Cricetulus griseus: one gene and its partners. The main gene of each other region encodes a partner of the protein of the gene in region 4 in a complex. Links are inferred from orthologs where the notes say so. Each region holds a gene or a part of one and is shown on either strand. Other genes may lie near its edges.

The links.
Region 1: Timm29 (region 4) and Timm10b share a complex: the UniProt entries of both Homo sapiens proteins name them as parts of the TIM22 complex. The link is inferred for Cricetulus griseus from reciprocal best matches to the Homo sapiens genes TIMM29 and TIMM10B.
Region 2: the proteins of Timm29 (region 4) and Timm10 are in contact, whole or in part, in a cryo-EM structure (PDB 7CGP), measured with the Homo sapiens proteins. The link is inferred for Cricetulus griseus from reciprocal best matches to the Homo sapiens genes TIMM29 and TIMM10. Residues at the interface, in NP_612367.1 of Homo sapiens: Asp181, Asp183, Ile184, Asp186, Phe189, Leu192, Leu196, Arg197, Val199, Gln203, Leu204, Ser206, Asn209, Glu210, Leu212, Phe213, Asp214; in NP_036588.1 of Homo sapiens: His30, Arg31, Lys32, Cys33, Pro35, Pro36, Leu43, Ser44, Lys45, Gly46, Glu47, Ser48, Val49, Arg53.
Region 3: Timm29 (region 4) and Timm22 share a complex: the UniProt entries of both Homo sapiens proteins name them as parts of the TIM22 complex. The link is inferred for Cricetulus griseus from reciprocal best matches to the Homo sapiens genes TIMM29 and TIMM22.

What each region holds. Positions count from the first base shown.
Region 1 is NC_048596.1:94,061,755-94,065,990, forward strand, and holds the start of Timm10b (mitochondrial import inner membrane translocase subunit Tim10 B), read right to left. Parts: upstream 2,805-4,236; 5' UTR 2,699-2,804; coding exon 2,669-2,698; intron 2,522-2,668; coding exon 2,426-2,521; intron 2,263-2,425; coding exon 2,086-2,262; 3' UTR 2,062-2,085; intron 260-2,061; exon of another isoform or gene 28-259; 3' UTR 1-27. Other genes in the region: Arfip2 (arfaptin-2), read left to right, coding at 3,818-3,916, 4,136-4,232. UniProt on the Homo sapiens protein: Component of the TIM22 complex, a complex that mediates the import and insertion of multi-pass transmembrane proteins into the mitochondrial inner membrane.
Region 2 is NC_048599.1:90,702,788-90,706,940, forward strand, and holds the start of Timm10 (mitochondrial import inner membrane translocase subunit Tim10), read right to left. Parts: upstream 2,805-4,153; 5' UTR 2,654-2,804; exon of another isoform or gene 2,558-2,653; intron 2,506-2,557; exon of another isoform or gene 2,392-2,505; intron 2,244-2,391; 5' UTR 2,205-2,243; coding exon 2,134-2,204; intron 1-2,133.
Region 3 is NC_048600.1:89,855,325-89,859,407, reverse strand, and holds the start of Timm22 (mitochondrial import inner membrane translocase subunit Tim22), read right to left. Parts: upstream 2,805-4,083; 5' UTR 2,766-2,804; coding exon 2,528-2,765; intron 211-2,527; coding exon 14-210; intron 1-13. UniProt on the Homo sapiens protein: Essential core component of the TIM22 complex, a complex that mediates the import and insertion of multi-pass transmembrane proteins into the mitochondrial inner membrane. In the TIM22 complex, it constitutes the voltage-activated and signal-gated channel.
Region 4 is NC_048597.1:134,470,667-134,474,255, reverse strand, and holds Timm29 (mitochondrial import inner membrane translocase subunit Tim29), read right to left. Parts: upstream 2,229-3,589; 5' UTR 2,091-2,228; coding exon 1,943-2,090; intron 1,852-1,942; coding exon 1,163-1,851; 3' UTR 502-1,162; downstream 1-501. Other genes in the region: protein YIPF2, read left to right, coding at 2,438-2,468, 2,798-2,955, 3,035-3,115. UniProt on the Homo sapiens protein: Component of the TIM22 complex, a complex that mediates the import and insertion of multi-pass transmembrane proteins into the mitochondrial inner membrane.

The DNA.
Region 1 (4,236 bases), on a different chromosome or scaffold from region 4:
ATATCCTGGGTCTCCACCTTCCTGTCTCTGGAAATGAAGAAGCTCACATGATGCATTCCTTACATTTATACTTGTCAAAGAGTGAATTCTGTCAGGAAGACCTGAGGTCACTCTATAGGGAAGCTCCTTGTCAGCAATTTTTATCTTCCTAAAGAATTATCTAGCAACCGTTGTAGCCCATGTCTGTAATCTCAGTACCTGGGAGGCTGAGACAAGAGGATCTCAAGTTTAAGGCCAATAGACCCCATGGCAAAATCACCTAAAATAAAAAAACAAAAAGGGAAAAGCAGTGACACACTAGAATCTGTTTTCAAAGAACTGTGTATAAGACAGAGCTCTCATGCATTCTGGGTTCTTTTTTACCTGTTAAATGGAAATAATATCTCCTAGGCTTGCAATAAAATGAATAAATAAGATAAATTTATGCAACATACTCAACAGACATGATTTTGAGAGGCAGCCTGCTGTAGTAAAAAGAATATGGGGCTTACCGCCCCACTGCACTTTATTAATAGGGTCTTGATATGCTGCCTTCAAACACAAAATTCGCAATCTGTGAAGTGCTGGGCTTGTAGGCATGCATAACAAGGCTTAGAGCAAGAGCTGTGTTTTAACACGAAGCCCACTATTTCAATTTTTTGGCTGGCCAGCTCTTGGGCAGTAGAGGCAGGAGGATCAGGAGTTCAGGGTCATCTTTAGTTATTATGATTTACATGTCAGTTTTGAGACCTCCCTCCCCAATCTCAAAAATAAAAAAGTAAAATGCATATTTATGACCTGTAGGTGTGTGTGTGGGGGGGGGATCTGCTTTGTAAATAGTTGATTTTGGCTGGGATTTTAAAATTTAATTCCTTGGTAAAAAAGGAAAGCTGTTGCCATACGTGAAAGGATGGGATGGGATTAAGCAATGAAGAGGTAATGGGTAGCTTAGGTTGTTAAGAGTCCCTGCCTGGCATGCACAAGCCCTTGAGTTGAACCCCCAGTAAAACAACAATAACAAATGCACATCCCATACTGTTGCTTGCCCTGCATCCTGCCATTATCCTTGAAGCCCCACATGGTAGTATATGCCATTTCCTCCTTCCTTCCTTGTCCTCATACTGGAGATGACATCACGGAAAAGGCAGGGCCAGGAAAGGAGGTATCCTCCTGAATACAGATGTGAACCCCACAAAATGAGGGGGCAGTAACAAAACAAGAATAGAGAGGCTGGATCAGTTACGGTTGAGAACAATGTAAGATGGAAGGTAGAGAGCTGGAATTAGGAGATTCCAGACAAACAGTGAAACACTAAGGAAGCATTAGGAGCCACACAGATTATATTTAACCACCCCTCTATCACCATCTACCTTTCCCTTTGATTTCTCTTCTTTAGATTTGACTAATGTAGGCCTTCTGACTTGCCTTGAAGACAAGAAGAAAACCCTTCTTTGTTTAAAGTCCTTATTGCTGATTTCACAAAGACAGGAAATATTTAAGATGGTAAACTGGGGAAATGATTGAAATTCTAGACAATATTCCCACATTCTTACAGGCTTATCTTTGATCTCCTAAGAATTGGTGGCTAAAGCCTATTGTGGTGCTGTTTTCTTCTTCCTCTTGTTGTCTGATATCACATTCTTCCCCTAGATGCAGCACAATTCTTTTTGTATTACAGCTCAGAAGAAAACTAGTTATTATGCAATATATATTCAGGCATTTGAGTTAGGCTCAAGGATAGCCACTGAGAGCTCCCCTTTTGGAACCAATTTCCCATTGCTATTACTAACCTTAAAACTATGTTTTTGCTGGGGATCTGAGAATGCTGAGTTTGTCCTACTACATTACAGAAGGCAATTTCTCAACTGCCAGGGCTGAGGGGAGAAGATAGGCACTAAATGGCAGAATAAAGGTTGGTACCAATAAGTGGACATAAATAAATTCCTGCCCAGAAAATCAACCAGAGTAAAAACCCGGTTTATTGGCTCCAAGAAAAGGAGCAATAGTGCCCAGCTTTCAGGCTCAATCTTTCTGTACAAATTTCGACAAGCCCAAGGTTCATAGAGGAGCCCATCCAAGCACCTTCTCTCCTGGGGCAGGCGATGGCTAGCTGCCTGATGGCGAGTCTCTGGGTTGTTCTGCAGTAACACCTGGCACGGCCGAGGCAGCCTCGTAGTCCGCGATGCGGCGCTGGACAAGGGCGGGCATGAGGTGGACGTAAGCGGCCATGAGGCGGTGGTTAGAATGGATGAGCTTCCCAGCACAGCTGTGTAGACAGGCCTCCTGGAAGGAAGACAGAGGTAAGCAGAGACCAAAAGGGGTCCTGTCAAGCCCTCCTCTCCGGGGCCCCAGCCTAGGGGTGAGGTCATGGGAGACCGAGATGCAAACGGGGGGTGGGAGGTGGACACGTCACGTTGTCAACCTCTGGGGTCCCCACAGTCCCCACCTCCTCAGCGTCCAGAGCTCGGTGGTGCAGGCTGGGCACACAGCGCTGGAAGCACAGTTCTGTCATCCGATTGTAGACCAACAGGAAATCTCGCAACTAAGAGAAAAGCGGATCAAGGCTTCACCACCGCTGAGGGTTCCTGGCGTGCGCAGTGCAGCCTGCCTTCCCCACTGGGGGTTCTTGCATGTACCCCAGAAAACAAACCGCACGTCTAACCCCGAGAACAACTTAGCTCTTACTCACGTTTCTTAGTTGCTGCTGCTGCTGCTCCATCACGCTCGGGGCACGCAGCCCACTTTACTTCCTCCCTGGGGGCGCGGAGTCACCCCGGAAGTAAATTCTCCCTAGTCACCAAGAGCTTCAAGGCGTGGTTCCAGTATCGCCCAGCCCATGTCTGCTAACGTCACCTCCGCCCTTTTGCTCTGCGACGTGGCCGGCTTCTTCTGCCCAGAGGGCACGTCACTTCCGCCGAATCTCTGACCTGCTGCTAAGATCGCGACGGGAACTGGAACCCGAGGTCCCCGCGCGGTCCGGCCCTCGCGCCCTGAGGGGAAGAGTGGCCCGGCCCAGGTGAGAAGGACATACTTGTACGAAAGGAAGTTGAATGCACGAACCTGTGCGGAGGGCAAGATGCCCTGAGCCCTTGGCAAGGATGAGGACACACCTGATGCCCAGGTGTGTGGGGGGGTGGTGGAGGGGACCTCTCACATCTGGAAGGCATAAACTGACTTTGGAAGGGACTGCCTGTGTCCTGGGAAAGAAGCTTTTAACTGACACCGGGAACACACCAGCTGCTTCAACTAAGGCCTGGTGGGGAGGGCCTGAGGGAGGCAGGTGCATGAGATGGAGAAAGGAGAGACCATTTGAAGGAAGAGGGGAAGGAACATCAAAGGATTTGAAAGACCAGGGATTGCAGAGCATGCTTGAGTGGCAAGTGAGCATCCGAGTCTAGGAAAGGGTTTTGCCTTCTGGTAAACATGCCTATGCAGGGCCAAGTTCCCAAAGAGCACAGACATTCCCCTCTGGCCCTCACTGCTGTAATCCCATTGCCTCAGTATCTGACGCATAGTAGGCACTCACTAAGTGTTTGTTGAGTGACTGAATGTGTAAAGGTTACTAAAGGTGAGGTTGGGGTTTGTGAGAAGACACCCAAGGCTTTGGTATACATGCATCTGTAGAAATAATGTACTTGGAAGAGAAGAAATACACATCTCCAGGAAAGTAGGGGCTGATCTCCAGGGACACCCAAGTCCTAACAGACAACCCCTGAAACCTATTAGAACACAGGGAAGGCCTCCTTGTTCTGGAGTGCTGGCCAGTTTCCAGAATTGTCTGTGTTGGGCTTTACAGCGTGCTGGGGTGGAGACCTTGACTCCAGTACCTTCCCTAGCCATGACGGACGGGATCCTAGGGAAGGCAGCCACAATGGAGATCCCAATCCATGGAAATGGTGAAGCTGGGCAGCTTCCTGAAGACGATGGGCTGGAGCAGGTGCTTCTGTTTGATTCTTCTAATTGTTTCAATTTAGCAATCCTGACTCTTGAATGTTTCGCTTTTCCCATCCCAATAGACTTCATTTAGTTAGTCCTCCTTATAGTTTTCAAGTCGTCATTATGATTCTATACAGACTTTACTATATACTGTCTCTATCCCCAAAATATTTCAGCCACCCCCATGTTCCTGAAGTGCCCCCTCTTCTCTGATCTATAGGACCTCCAGCAGGTGATGGTGTCAGGACCCAACCTCAATGAAACTAGCATTGTGTCTGGTGGCTATGGGGGCTCTGGTGATGGACTCATCCCCACAGGTAT
Region 2 (4,153 bases), on a different chromosome or scaffold from region 4:
CAGCAGGTGTCTCACTGTTTCCTGAATGATATGCTTGATGCTAAAGGCTTCCATGTTCAATATTAGTAATGTCTTCATGAAGTAGTGTTTATTATGTCAGTTTTATTGATGATACAATCAATTATGAGACAGTTTGTCCAAAGATATTCAGCAGGTGACTGGTGCACCAGGATTTGTTTCCAAACTGGCCAAACAGCTACAATCAATAGTTGTGAGATCAGTCTGAAGAATTGGTTCTGACATTGCTACTGACCAGTTATGAATGCTGACATTACTAAATCCTTTGATACCTCAATTCCCTGATGTTAAAATGGCACTAATAAAATTAACCCACTGATTTTAATTTATTTCCTTTTTTTTTTTTCAGACTCATGCCATCTATCCCAGGCTGGCCTCAAACTCACTATGTGGCCAAGGATGACCTTGAACTATTGATCCTCTGTCCTTCATCTCTGAGTGCTGAAAGTACAAGCACCACATCAGTATCAAGGCAAGGGCTTCTTGCATTCTAGCAAAGCACCCTGCCAAAAGTTAGGTCCTCTTCTCCCAGTGAGTATTTTTAATATTAAAAAATAATATGTGGGGCTGGAGAGATGGCTCAGAGGTTAAGAGTACCGACTGCTCTTCCAGAGGTCCTGAGTTCAATTCCCAGCAACTACATGGTGGCTCACAATCATCCCTTATGAGATCTGGTGCCCTCTTCTGGTGTGCAGATATACATGGAAGCAGAATGTTGTATACATAATAAATAAATAAATCTTTAAAAAAAACACATTAAAAAAATAAAAATAAAATGTGACAATGGGGGTACTAGACAGATGGCTTCCTGGTTAAGAGAACTTACTGGTCTTGCAGAAGACCTGGGTTTGGTTCCCAGAACCCACATGGTAACTCAAAAATTGTCTGTTACTCCAGTTCCAATGGATCTGATGCCCTCTTTGGCCTCTTCAGGCATGTGGTATACATACATACATACATACATACATACATACATGCAAGCAAAATATCCACACATATAAACTAAAAACAAAGAAACTTGAAAAAAACAATTTAAAAATGGTAATATATGTAAAATGTTTTGCTAGTGCCTAACACAAAGTTTAATGAAGGCCAGATGTGCACAACTTTAATCCTCAGGACCCAAGTGGGAGAGGCTGATGATCTTTGTGAATTCAAGGCCAGCCTGGTATACATAGCAGGTTCCAGGCTAGCCAGGATTACATCATGAGACCCTGTCTCAAAAAAATAAAATAAATAAAATAAATCAAACAAACAAAAGACAAAAGCTTAAAGAATATTAGAGGTTGCCAAGCCAGATCTTTAGAGTCCATTTCGGCCGGCAATGGTGGCGCATGCCTTTAATCCCAGCACTCGGGAGACAGAGGCAGGCAGATGTCTGCGAATTCGAGACCAGCCTGGTCTATCAATCGAGTTCCAGGACAGGCTCTAAAAAAATACTGAGAAACCCTGTCTCAAAAAAACAAAAACAAACAAAAAAGAGTCCAGTTCCTGAGACCCATACATTGGAAGGAAAGATGGGCTCCTATTAAGTTGTTCTCCGACCTACACTAGTGTGCTGCTGTGACAGACAGGGTGGCACTCATAAACAACCACAAAATACATAAACAAAAGTAATTAAATGGGCTGTTTTGGGGGTTTTTTTTTGTTTTTTGGGTTTTTTTTTTTTTTTTTTTTTGGTTTTTTCAAGACATGGTTTCTCTGTGGCTTTGGAGGATGTCCTGGAACTAGCTCTTGTAGACCAGGGCGGTCTCGAACTCAGAGATCCGCCTGCTTCTGCCTCCCGAGTGCTGAGATTAATGGCGTGCGCCACCAATGCCCGGCTTGTTTTTGTTTTTGTTTTTTAAATTAATACTACCTGTTCTTGAAACTCACCAGATACTAACAGGAGATTCTCCTTCATGCCCCTCTTACTCCCCCTAAATAGCCAAGTCCTTCTAGTGACTTGTATTTGGTTTAGCCTAGCACATGGTGAGCGTGGGGCAGAGGGTGAGGGCTGGGACTTGGCTCCACTCCCTAAAGGAAAGCATTCCTTACAAGTCCTTGACTCCGTCATGGTAAGGGTGACTCGGGCTAATCTTCCAACACTCGGTATCGTGGAGTGGTTCTCATTACCTGTTGTACATGTCAGCCATCATCTCCACCTCCAGCTCCGCAGCCAGCTGCTGGGCTCTAAGCGGATCCATGTCAACCTAGCACCGTGCAGAGCAGCCTCCTGGTCTTTCCTAGGAGCAGACAAGATCGTCAGCACCGACCCCTCCCTCTTCACCCTAACGTCCCGGGGCTGGAGGACAGCGTTTCTGACCAGCAGGGACCACCGCCCTCAGTAAACGTAATCAGCCCTCGTAACAGAAGTGGAAATAAGGCCTTTACAGGGGACAGTGCCCAGCTCAAGGTCACTCAGGATGTCACGGGCACGGGCCCGGAGACTGGACCGCTCGGTTCCTCCACGTCGCTCCCAGCCAGAGGATCGACGCCAGGGACACAACACTCGAAACCGTGGGCCTGGCCCGCGCGGCCCTGAGAACCCGACCCTCACCACAACCGAAGCTCCCGGAGCCGGCCCAAAGGCTGCGCCCGTCATGTCGATGCCATCATCGGGGTCACTCGGGGTCAGACACCGTGACTCACTCACCACGGCCTGGGGCAGGTCACAGATCCCTCGAGGTCCGCAACTTCGGGTCAATAGTAAAAAGTTGCCGGGTACCCAGCTGGAAGAAATAAGAAGCACGTGGGTCACATCCGGGATGGAAGTCCAACCTCTTCTTTGATCCGGAAGAAAACGCCTACCCGGCGGCGCTGGGAAATCCGCTACCATAGAGATGGGGCCACCGCCTGGCCGAAGCGAAAACGACTTCAGTTTGCTAGAGCGTCCTCCAAAGTGCCACAGAGGCCTGAGTGAGGGGCGGAGCGCCGGCAGCCCCGTTAGCTTTCTGTTCCTTGGGCTGTCCGGGAGATGTTTTGAGTGTTTGGGGTGTGGAAGGGGCTTGGCTTCCTGAACGCACTAAGGAGGGCCCACGTCCGAGCTCAGATAGTTCTTGTGTGAAGAAGGGGGAATCTTTCCCAAAGGAGCCTGTCAGTGTTGCATGTTAAAATCACTCGGAGCCCCAGCACTCGGGAGGCAGAGGCAGGCGGATCTCTGTGAGTTCCAGGCCAGCCTGGTCTACAGAGCTAGTTCCAGGACAGCCTCCAAAGCCACAGAGAAACCATGTCTCAACACCTCCCCCCCCAAAAAAAAGAAAACACAGTCTAATGAACATCAATATAGCTATCACCAGGATTTAACGTTTATTAAAATTTAGCCACATTTTCTTTATCTGTTGTCTTTAACGATGAAGTCTTTTCCCCCAATTTCTATTTTCACATCTTCAGCTAATAGTGATTTTTTCCCCCTGTCTTTTTTACACCTCTCATTGGGTATACTTTTTTAGATTTATTCGTAAAAGTATGTGCCATGGGCCCATGTAGAAGTCAAAGGACAACCTGTGGGAGCTGATTCTGTTCTTCCACTGAAGGGATCTGACCCTCACCCAGCCCCCTGCTTTGAGCTGCATGACAGGCTGCAGAAAAGAACCTGCAAGATGTAGCCTCTGACTCAGCACATGTTGCTTAGATTCCGGCCTTCTGACCATGCTGGAACTGCCCTAGTCACTAGGAGGTCAGATACCCTCCACGTGGCAAGGAACCAATCAGAAGTTAGCTGGAGGGCTCTAGGCTTTGTGGTGCTTTATAGTAAAAGAGGTATAACAGTGCCATGCAGAGCATAGCAACCACCCTGGGAGGGCCTATAGGCCATAACAACCAGTTGACCAACACAGGACAGGTTACCCAAGCCTGGAAGCCCATTGCTTAGTTCTAGACATTCCCCTTGCACACTTCCCCCCAACTTGGTTTCTCTGGGTCCTTCTTACTCCACCTGATGTGATGAACCCACAAAGGGCCAGAGTTAAGACAATTAACTTGTTAAACAATAAAAGACTCTTTGCTTTTGCATTGGAATGGGTCTCTTGGTGATTTGGGGCTTCAGAATTTGGGCACAACACCACCACATAGGTCCAGAGCCATCAAGCCCAAGTTGTCAAGTGCCATGGTAATCGTCCTTACCTTTAAGCCATCTTAACAGCCCAATTATTTC
Region 3 (4,083 bases), on a different chromosome or scaffold from region 4:
AAGAGACACTTACAGATTCTACTAAACACTCAGTACACGAAAACATTGCGCCCACAATGGCAAAATTTTTGGCGTAGGACATTCCTCTTTGTCCCATGTCTTTCAGAACTTCTTTTGCAGTTGGTGTCCGGTAAGGGTCCTTAGGGTCAAAGCCTACATTGGTATCAATGCCGGCAGTAAAGATCCCAAACGCACCTCCCAAGACAAATCCTAGAAGCAAGCAGAGATAAGAGTTCTTTTGCACATTCTGGACTACCATTTTGGGATGATATTTTAAGATGGCTCAATCCTGCTTCCTCCAGTCAGAGTCTATCCCCCTGACTCTCCTAGGATTTCTTCCTTTCATTTCCCAGCCTTTGAGCTTTAACCCTCTGTTCTCTATAGACCAGTCACCCTCAAGTTCTTATCAACTTTGTGTATCATTCCCTTAACCATGCCAATATCTATAACAGTCTCTTGGTAGGCATTACCACATATTCTGAAATACTCTAGATTTCACAATAACTTGTGGCTGTTTTGTTTGTTTGACAGGACCTCACTATGGAGTCCTAACTGGCCTGGAACTTGCTATTGTAGAACAGGCTAGCTCAAACTCAAGAGATCCACCTGCCTCTACCTCCCAAGTTCTTGGATTAACAGCGTGTGTCACTACCACCCAGCTGTCCTCTCTAAACCAAAGCTAGAGAGGCTAAGTAACTGTGTCCAAAGTCGCATGGCTGTTATGTGGGAAATCCTAGGTTGCTGTCAACAAATGTCTTGTCTAAACCTTGAACATTTCTTTGTGTGGGTGTGGGTGTAGGCCAGAGTTCAATCCTGGGGTGTCACTACTCAGGAACCATCCACCTTTCTTTCTTTCTTTCTTTCTTTCTTTCTTTCTTTCTTTCTTTCTTTCTTTCTTTCGTTGTTTTCAAGACAGGGTTTCTCAGTGTAATAGCCCTAGCAGTCCCAGAACTTACTCTGTAGACCAGGCTGGCCTCAAACTCAGAGAGATCTACCTGCCTGTCTTTGGAGTGCTGGGGTTAAAATCAGGTGCCACTACCCCTGGCCACTTTTTTCTTTTTTAAAGAGGGTCTCTCAATGGACCTAGAGCTAACTGATTAGGCTAGGCTGGCTAGTAACTGAGCCCCAAGGATCTGTCTGCCTGTCTTCCCAGTAATGGGATTACAAGTCATTTTCAGGCCTGACATTTATCTATTTATCTATCTATCTGTCTGTCTGTCTGTCTATCTTTCTGAGACACAGCCTATATAGTCTGTCTGTGTAGGTGTCCTGGAGCTTGCTATGTAGACCAGGCTGGCCTCAAACTCAGATCCATCTGCCTCTCTAGTGCTGGGATTAGAGGCCTGGGCCACCTCACCCAGCCATACCTGGCTTTTTACAGGATGCTGGGTATTGAACTCAGATCCTCAAGCTTGCATGACAAGCACTTTATCAACTGCACTTTGTCCCCAGCCATTTCTGTATGGATGTCTTCTCATCACCTCAAGATGAATGTAATTTCAAAAAATAAAAAAAAATCAATGTAATTAATTTCAATGAAACTAGACTCTATCTCCCCTCTCCAAAATGTCTTGCTTTCCAATCACTCCAGCTCCAAAACTCTCTCTTCTTTGTAGTACATTTAAGGTTTGCTTTTTGTTTGGTCAGTTTTTTGTTTTGTTTTTGAAGACAGTGTCTCTATTATGTAACCCTGGCTGTCCTGGAATTCACTATATAGACCAGGTTGGCCTGGAACTCAGATCTGACTGCCTCTTCATCCTCAATTTTTAAGACTTGAACTCCTGCTATTTGGATTTCACAAATGTTTTTCATTCCCAATAAAATTTAAACTCATCCACAAATACAGTCAACCTTTTTACCTGCACACTGGAAGTGTGTGTATTTGTTTGTTTTTATGTTCTATCCTACCCCACCCCGACAGTCTAATTACAGTGGCCTTTTTTTTTTTTTTTTTTTTTTTTCCCCTTAGATAGGGTCTCTCTATGTAGAACTGGCTGTACTGGAACTCACTCTGTAGACCAGACTGGCCTCGAACTCACAGGGATCCATCTGCCTCTGCCTCCCGAGTGCTGGAATTAACTTCAAATTTCTCTGACTTGAGGACCTTTGCATTTGCAATTCCCTATGTGTCTACAGCACTCTTCTGCCCGGGTCCTAGAAATTCTCTATCAGGGCTCTTGTCACTTTCATCCATAGTCCCACTGCCTAACACACGACAGTTGCTTAGTTTGTGAATGAATGAATGAATGAATGAATGAATGAATGAATGAATGAATGAACGAAAGCATCCACTTAACAATCTGCAGGCCCTGACCGTAGTTTAACTGATTCTCGAACGTTCCAGCTCCCAACTGTGAATGTTAACCCCAGGATCAAGAGCGGCATCTTCGGGTTCATTGAGCCAGTCGGGGAGCAATCAAGGTCGAGACCCACAGGTCCTTCGCCTCCCAGGCGCGTGGTCTTGGCAAGGAACCCCAAGGCCCTCCAAGCCCTCAGCCTCCCAAGGGTCCCACGAGCCTCGCCTCACCTCCCACGCAGGCTAGCACAGCCTTGAAGGCGCAACTTTCCATCGCCCTCTCGATCATCTTCTGCTCCTCGCTCTTGGAGGGACTCGGGATCCCGCCCAGGCTGCCAGGCTCCAGGAGCCGGGGCTGACGCTTGTCGCCCACCAGGTACTGCAGAAGAAGGCTGTATTGCAGCGGAGCTTCGGCGGAAGTCGCCGACTCCGCAGCTGAAGCCCCGGCACTGGGGGCAGTAGCCGCCATGACCGTAAGGGACCCAGAACCTTAAGCGTCGTACTTGCCACAGCCGATTCCACATGCTTCCCTAGGTGTCTAGCCATAGTGCCGCAGCGGCAGATTCGCCACAATGAGGAAGCGGCGGAAGCAAAAGTCGGCCTGTGCATCAGCGTCAAGGCAGCTATAATGTTCCCCCCAAAGCCTCCTGTAAACACCGAGTCAAGTTTGTAAGGCATTGCTAAAAGCACTGACAAACAAGATTCGGGGTCTCCAGAACACCCCCCTCAACGAGGTAGCTCCAGTGCGGCGCGTGCCGGGATTTGTAGTTCTAACTCAAACATCTAACTACATTTCCCAGAAAGCTATGCGCGAACTAACCCTACGGCTTCCTCAGAAGCTCTTCTGAGAAGCGAACCAAGGCAGGCCCGGCTCTGGCTAGGCTGCAGTTTGTGACGTATCCAGCAGAAGGCGTGCGTGTCCGCTTTGTTGCCCCGCCAAGTGACAGTGATCATGCTGCCTCAGTCAGCTAGGACTACAGGCTGGTTGGTATTCTAAGATCAAATAATGGTAATAAGCAAATGTTGAAACATGGCGTGAAGATGTTCAATAGACATTTTATTATATAGTTAAACCTTTGAGGAGAAAGAAGGGCCAATAAATGAGCTGGGTGGTGGTGGCTCATGTAATTTCAGCAGAGGCAGGTAGATCTCTGAGTTCGAGGCCAGCCTGGTCTGCAGCGTGAGTTCCAGGACACCCAGAGCTACACAGAGAAACTCCGTCTTGAAAAAACAAAATATATAAATATATAAATAAATATTGGGAATTGTGGTAGTTGTGATTCTGAGTCAGACCAGGCTGGCAATTTATTTGTCTCTCTTAGCTAAGCGAAACACTCATGAAAAGAAAAATCATTACAGATGCACGTTTGGTGTCTAAAATCCTCTTTGTTCTTGTTTCTGCCCTCACCAGGCCACCAAGCACGCTAAGTTTCCAGTGGTTGGTTGGTTGGTTTGGTTTGGTTTGGTTTTTCAAGTCAGGGTTTCTCTGAGAAACAGTCCTGGCTGTCCCGAAACTCCTTTTGTAGACCAAACTGGCCTTGAACTCACAGATTCCCCACCACCACATGGCTCTCCAGTGGTTTCTTAGCTGTCAATCATTTTTTCTAAACTTCTCAGCTGCATGTGACACAGGGACCCCTCTCTCCTTTGATTTTTTTTTTTAAATTATTTATTTATTATGTATACAGTCTTCTGCCTGCATGCCAGCAGAGGGCACCAGATCTCATTCAAGGTGGTTGTGAGCCACCATGTGGTTGCCGGGAATTCAACTCAGGACCTCTGGTGGA
Region 4 (3,589 bases):
CACTGACATCTGTTCACTTCCATATCTATCTCCTGCACTGATGGTATTACACAATGTTACCAGTTAAGAGAAGCTAGGTCCAAGGGCCTCAAGGACTAAATAGAAACTATTAAACAAAACAAAAAAATCCCAAGAAGACCGGAGAAGGGGCTGGAGAGATGACTCAGAGGTTAAGAGCACTGACTACTCTTCCAGGGGACCTGAGTTCAATTCCCAGCAAACACAGGGTGGCTCATGACTATCTATAATGAAATCTGGTGCCCTCTTCTGGTATGCAGGCAGAACATTGTATACATAATAAATAAATACATTTTTAAAAAAATTTAGAAAAAATAATTTAAAAAATGGGGTTGGAGAGTGGCTCAGAGGTTAAGAGCACTTCCTGTTCTTCCAGAGTTCAACTCTCAGCAACCTCATGGTGGGTCACAAACATCTGTAATGAGACCTGATGCCTTATTCTGGCCTGCAGGCATACATGCAGATAGAAAAGTGCATACATTAAAAAAAAAAAAAAAAAAAGCCTTGGGGGTTCAGTGCTTGCCCTGTATGTACAAGACCCCGTCTTTGATGTCTAGTACTCAACAATAATAAAGTGTACAGCAGAACCCTTTCTCCCCCCATCTGGGAAGTGCAGGCAAGTCACCCTTTGCTACACAGTAGGCTATTATGCATGGACTGTGTACACTGTGGTGGACTGGAGCTGAGGCAGGAGGATTTAGGGTCAGTCTGGGTTCTTTGGGAGTCCTAGTCTCAAAACCCAACCAAATAAACAATAACCCCCAAACAAAAAGTTCTTTTTTGTTCTGTTTTACAGTGCTGGGATTGGAAGCCAAGAACCCAGGCACGCTAGGCAAGTGCTCTACCACTGAAGTACATCCCCGTCGACAACAGGCTACCCCATACAGGCTCCTTACTAGTACTTCTGGTGGTTATAAATATAACACGGACAAATGCTTCAGCTCTTCTCCATGTTCAAGACCAGTCCTTCAGCTGTTCTCCATCTCCAAGATCAGGAAAGCTTTCAATTAGCTTCGGCTAATGAAACAGACGGAGCGAGAAGGTCTTCCCACAAAACCACACCGAGCAGAGTTTACAACCAGCCATCTCATCCGTTGCATCCACTCGTGGCAAACAGTCTGCCTGAACCTGGAGACCTGGGGTTTCATCTGGAAACCTCGGCCTGCACCAGTGAATTGGCCTCGCTCAGCGCCAGTCTATCCTTTTTTTCCTTTTGCAAGACCTGCTCTTCCCACAGCGCCTGGTCCACCTGGTCATCAGTGAGCACAATCGGCTTGTACTTCTCCTCGAACAGCCTCTCGTTGGCCTCGGAATGCAGCTGGTGGGGCCCGACGACACGGAGGTGCGCAGGCAGGTGAAGAAACTCGTCGTCGTTAATGTCGCAATCCTGCATGCGGTTCTCCAGGATCCACCAACGGCCCAGGAACCCCACGTCGAGGACCCGACCGGGGAAGTCGATCCAACGCGGCTGCAGGTAGCGGCAGCGGGCCTGGTAGAGGCTGGCCTGGGCATCGAAGGGCGCCTCGTACACCAGCGAGCAGAGCCCCAGGTTCACGTGGCGCAGCCGCCCGCGGCCTCTCAGCCACAGCAGGCGCTGCAAGAACGCTTCCGAGTGACGGTTACGCGTGGCCGGCGCCAGCAGCAGGAGGGACCCCGACGCGTCGAGCAAGGCCTCTTCGAAGGTGGCCTCGCCAGGGGCCAGGGCGCAGCACGCCGCGGCGCCGCCCAACAGCCCCACGTAGACTGCCGCGCGGCCTGGCCGGGCCCGAGCCGCCGCCGCCGCGTCTCTGCAGGCCTCGGCGTAATCGCGAAGCAGCGCGCGGGTCCAAGTGCCTGAAGGAAAGACGCCAGCGCGGAGGTGACAGCGATCCGGGCACGCGGGCCGCCCCCCACCCCCGCCGCCACCCCCGCCGCCACTACTCACCCAGTCGCGCCCACAGCCCTGGCTTCGCCGCCACCGTCGCGGCAGCATTCGCCTCTCCTCGCGCTTCACTGCGCCCAGCGGACCCGAGCCTCTTGAGAGCGGCGGTGGCCATCCTCTTCCCGCCGTCCGTTGGCCAGCGGAAAAGCATAGCGGCGGAACCAAAGGTGCGGAGTGGCTCCTGCGCACGCGCAAGGTACCGGAAGTAGTTTCTCACTGAAAACCGGAAGCCGGGCTGGCGCCGGATGTTGCCGTTGCATGAAGAGTGGGCTCTGACGGGTACGCTGGCCGCACGCACGCGCACGGAGGATGGGCCACGCCAGCTTAGGTAGCCTTAGGTGAGGAGGGCGGGGTGCACCTGGCCCAGGGCTGGTCTCACTCCAGGTGTTCGGTAGGCTCCAGGCAGGACTGTAGGCGGAAGCATCAATCCTGGGGAGGGCTGAGGGACTGATGCAGTTCTGTCCACACAGCGCAATGCGGTGACGCCTCAAAAGAATCATGGCAGCGGCTGACGCACTGGCCTTCCATGGTGAGTGGGGCCGGGAAGTGGTCAGAGCTCCTACTCCTGTCCTAGGATAAAACTCCAGGCAGCTGGGACCTAGATCCCAGCGTGAACCTGGGGTTCATCCCGTACTCAGTCAATCCCTGCTCCCACTATAAACTCAGAGGCACATCAGAGCCTCCAAGTCTGCCTAGAACCTAACCTGAACCCCATCTTAGTCGAGAAACAGACTTCTCTATGCGTCAAAATTGAAGAAACGCAGTCCTTAGGGAGTGTAGTGAGGCAACCACAGCCCGGGGTGATGGTCAAGAGATTTTCAGAATCCAAACACCTGTGCCCATTTTCTCTGACCGTAGAGTTCGAAGAAGCCACAAATCTTCTGGCAGAGACCCCAGATGCAGCCACCACTAGCCAAAGTGATGCCCTGACCTCACGGGAGCACGTGACTGTGGTCGTGGGATCAGGTATTGGCTATGGAGCCGAAGTGGTGGAGGAAGAGGGCGATAGAGCATCGGTAAGTCCCCTGGGCCCCGCATGCCATGCCTGTCCATAGCTGGGCTGAGAGGCAGCTTCTGAAAGTTTGTGTCTTGTAGCTTCTACAGGAAGAAAAGCCACAGCCAAGATTCTGGACGTTTGACTACTATCAAAGCTTCTTTGATGTGGACACCTCCCAGGTGAGGCCTGGGACATTGGTTGTTTGGGGCTCAGCCACTGTATTTGGATGGACTGTGTGTGTGGTAGGGCCGGAAGGCAAGGTAGATGGGTGGGTGGGTATGGGTCTGAAAGCCAGTGTCTTCTCTCAGCCTCCTGGGTAGGTAGGGCCACAAATGGCACCACTTGGCCTGGATGAAAGCTCCATTAATGAGCTGAAGTTTGGGTCTTGGCCCGAGGCGATGGGGAGTTATGGAAGATTTTAGAGCAGGAGAGGGATGAGTAGAATAAGCAGATACAGATGTGGAACACAGGGCAGCCTCTGCTAATAAACCACATCTACTGAGAGGGCACATCCTGGAGATGTAGGAGGAAGAACATCCAGAATTTATGGACTGTCCTTACTGTGGCTGGGAGGAGAGGCTGCAAGAAGTTGAGAGAGGGGCTGACAATATGGCTCAGAGGTTAAAAGTACTGACTGCTCATCTAGAGAACCT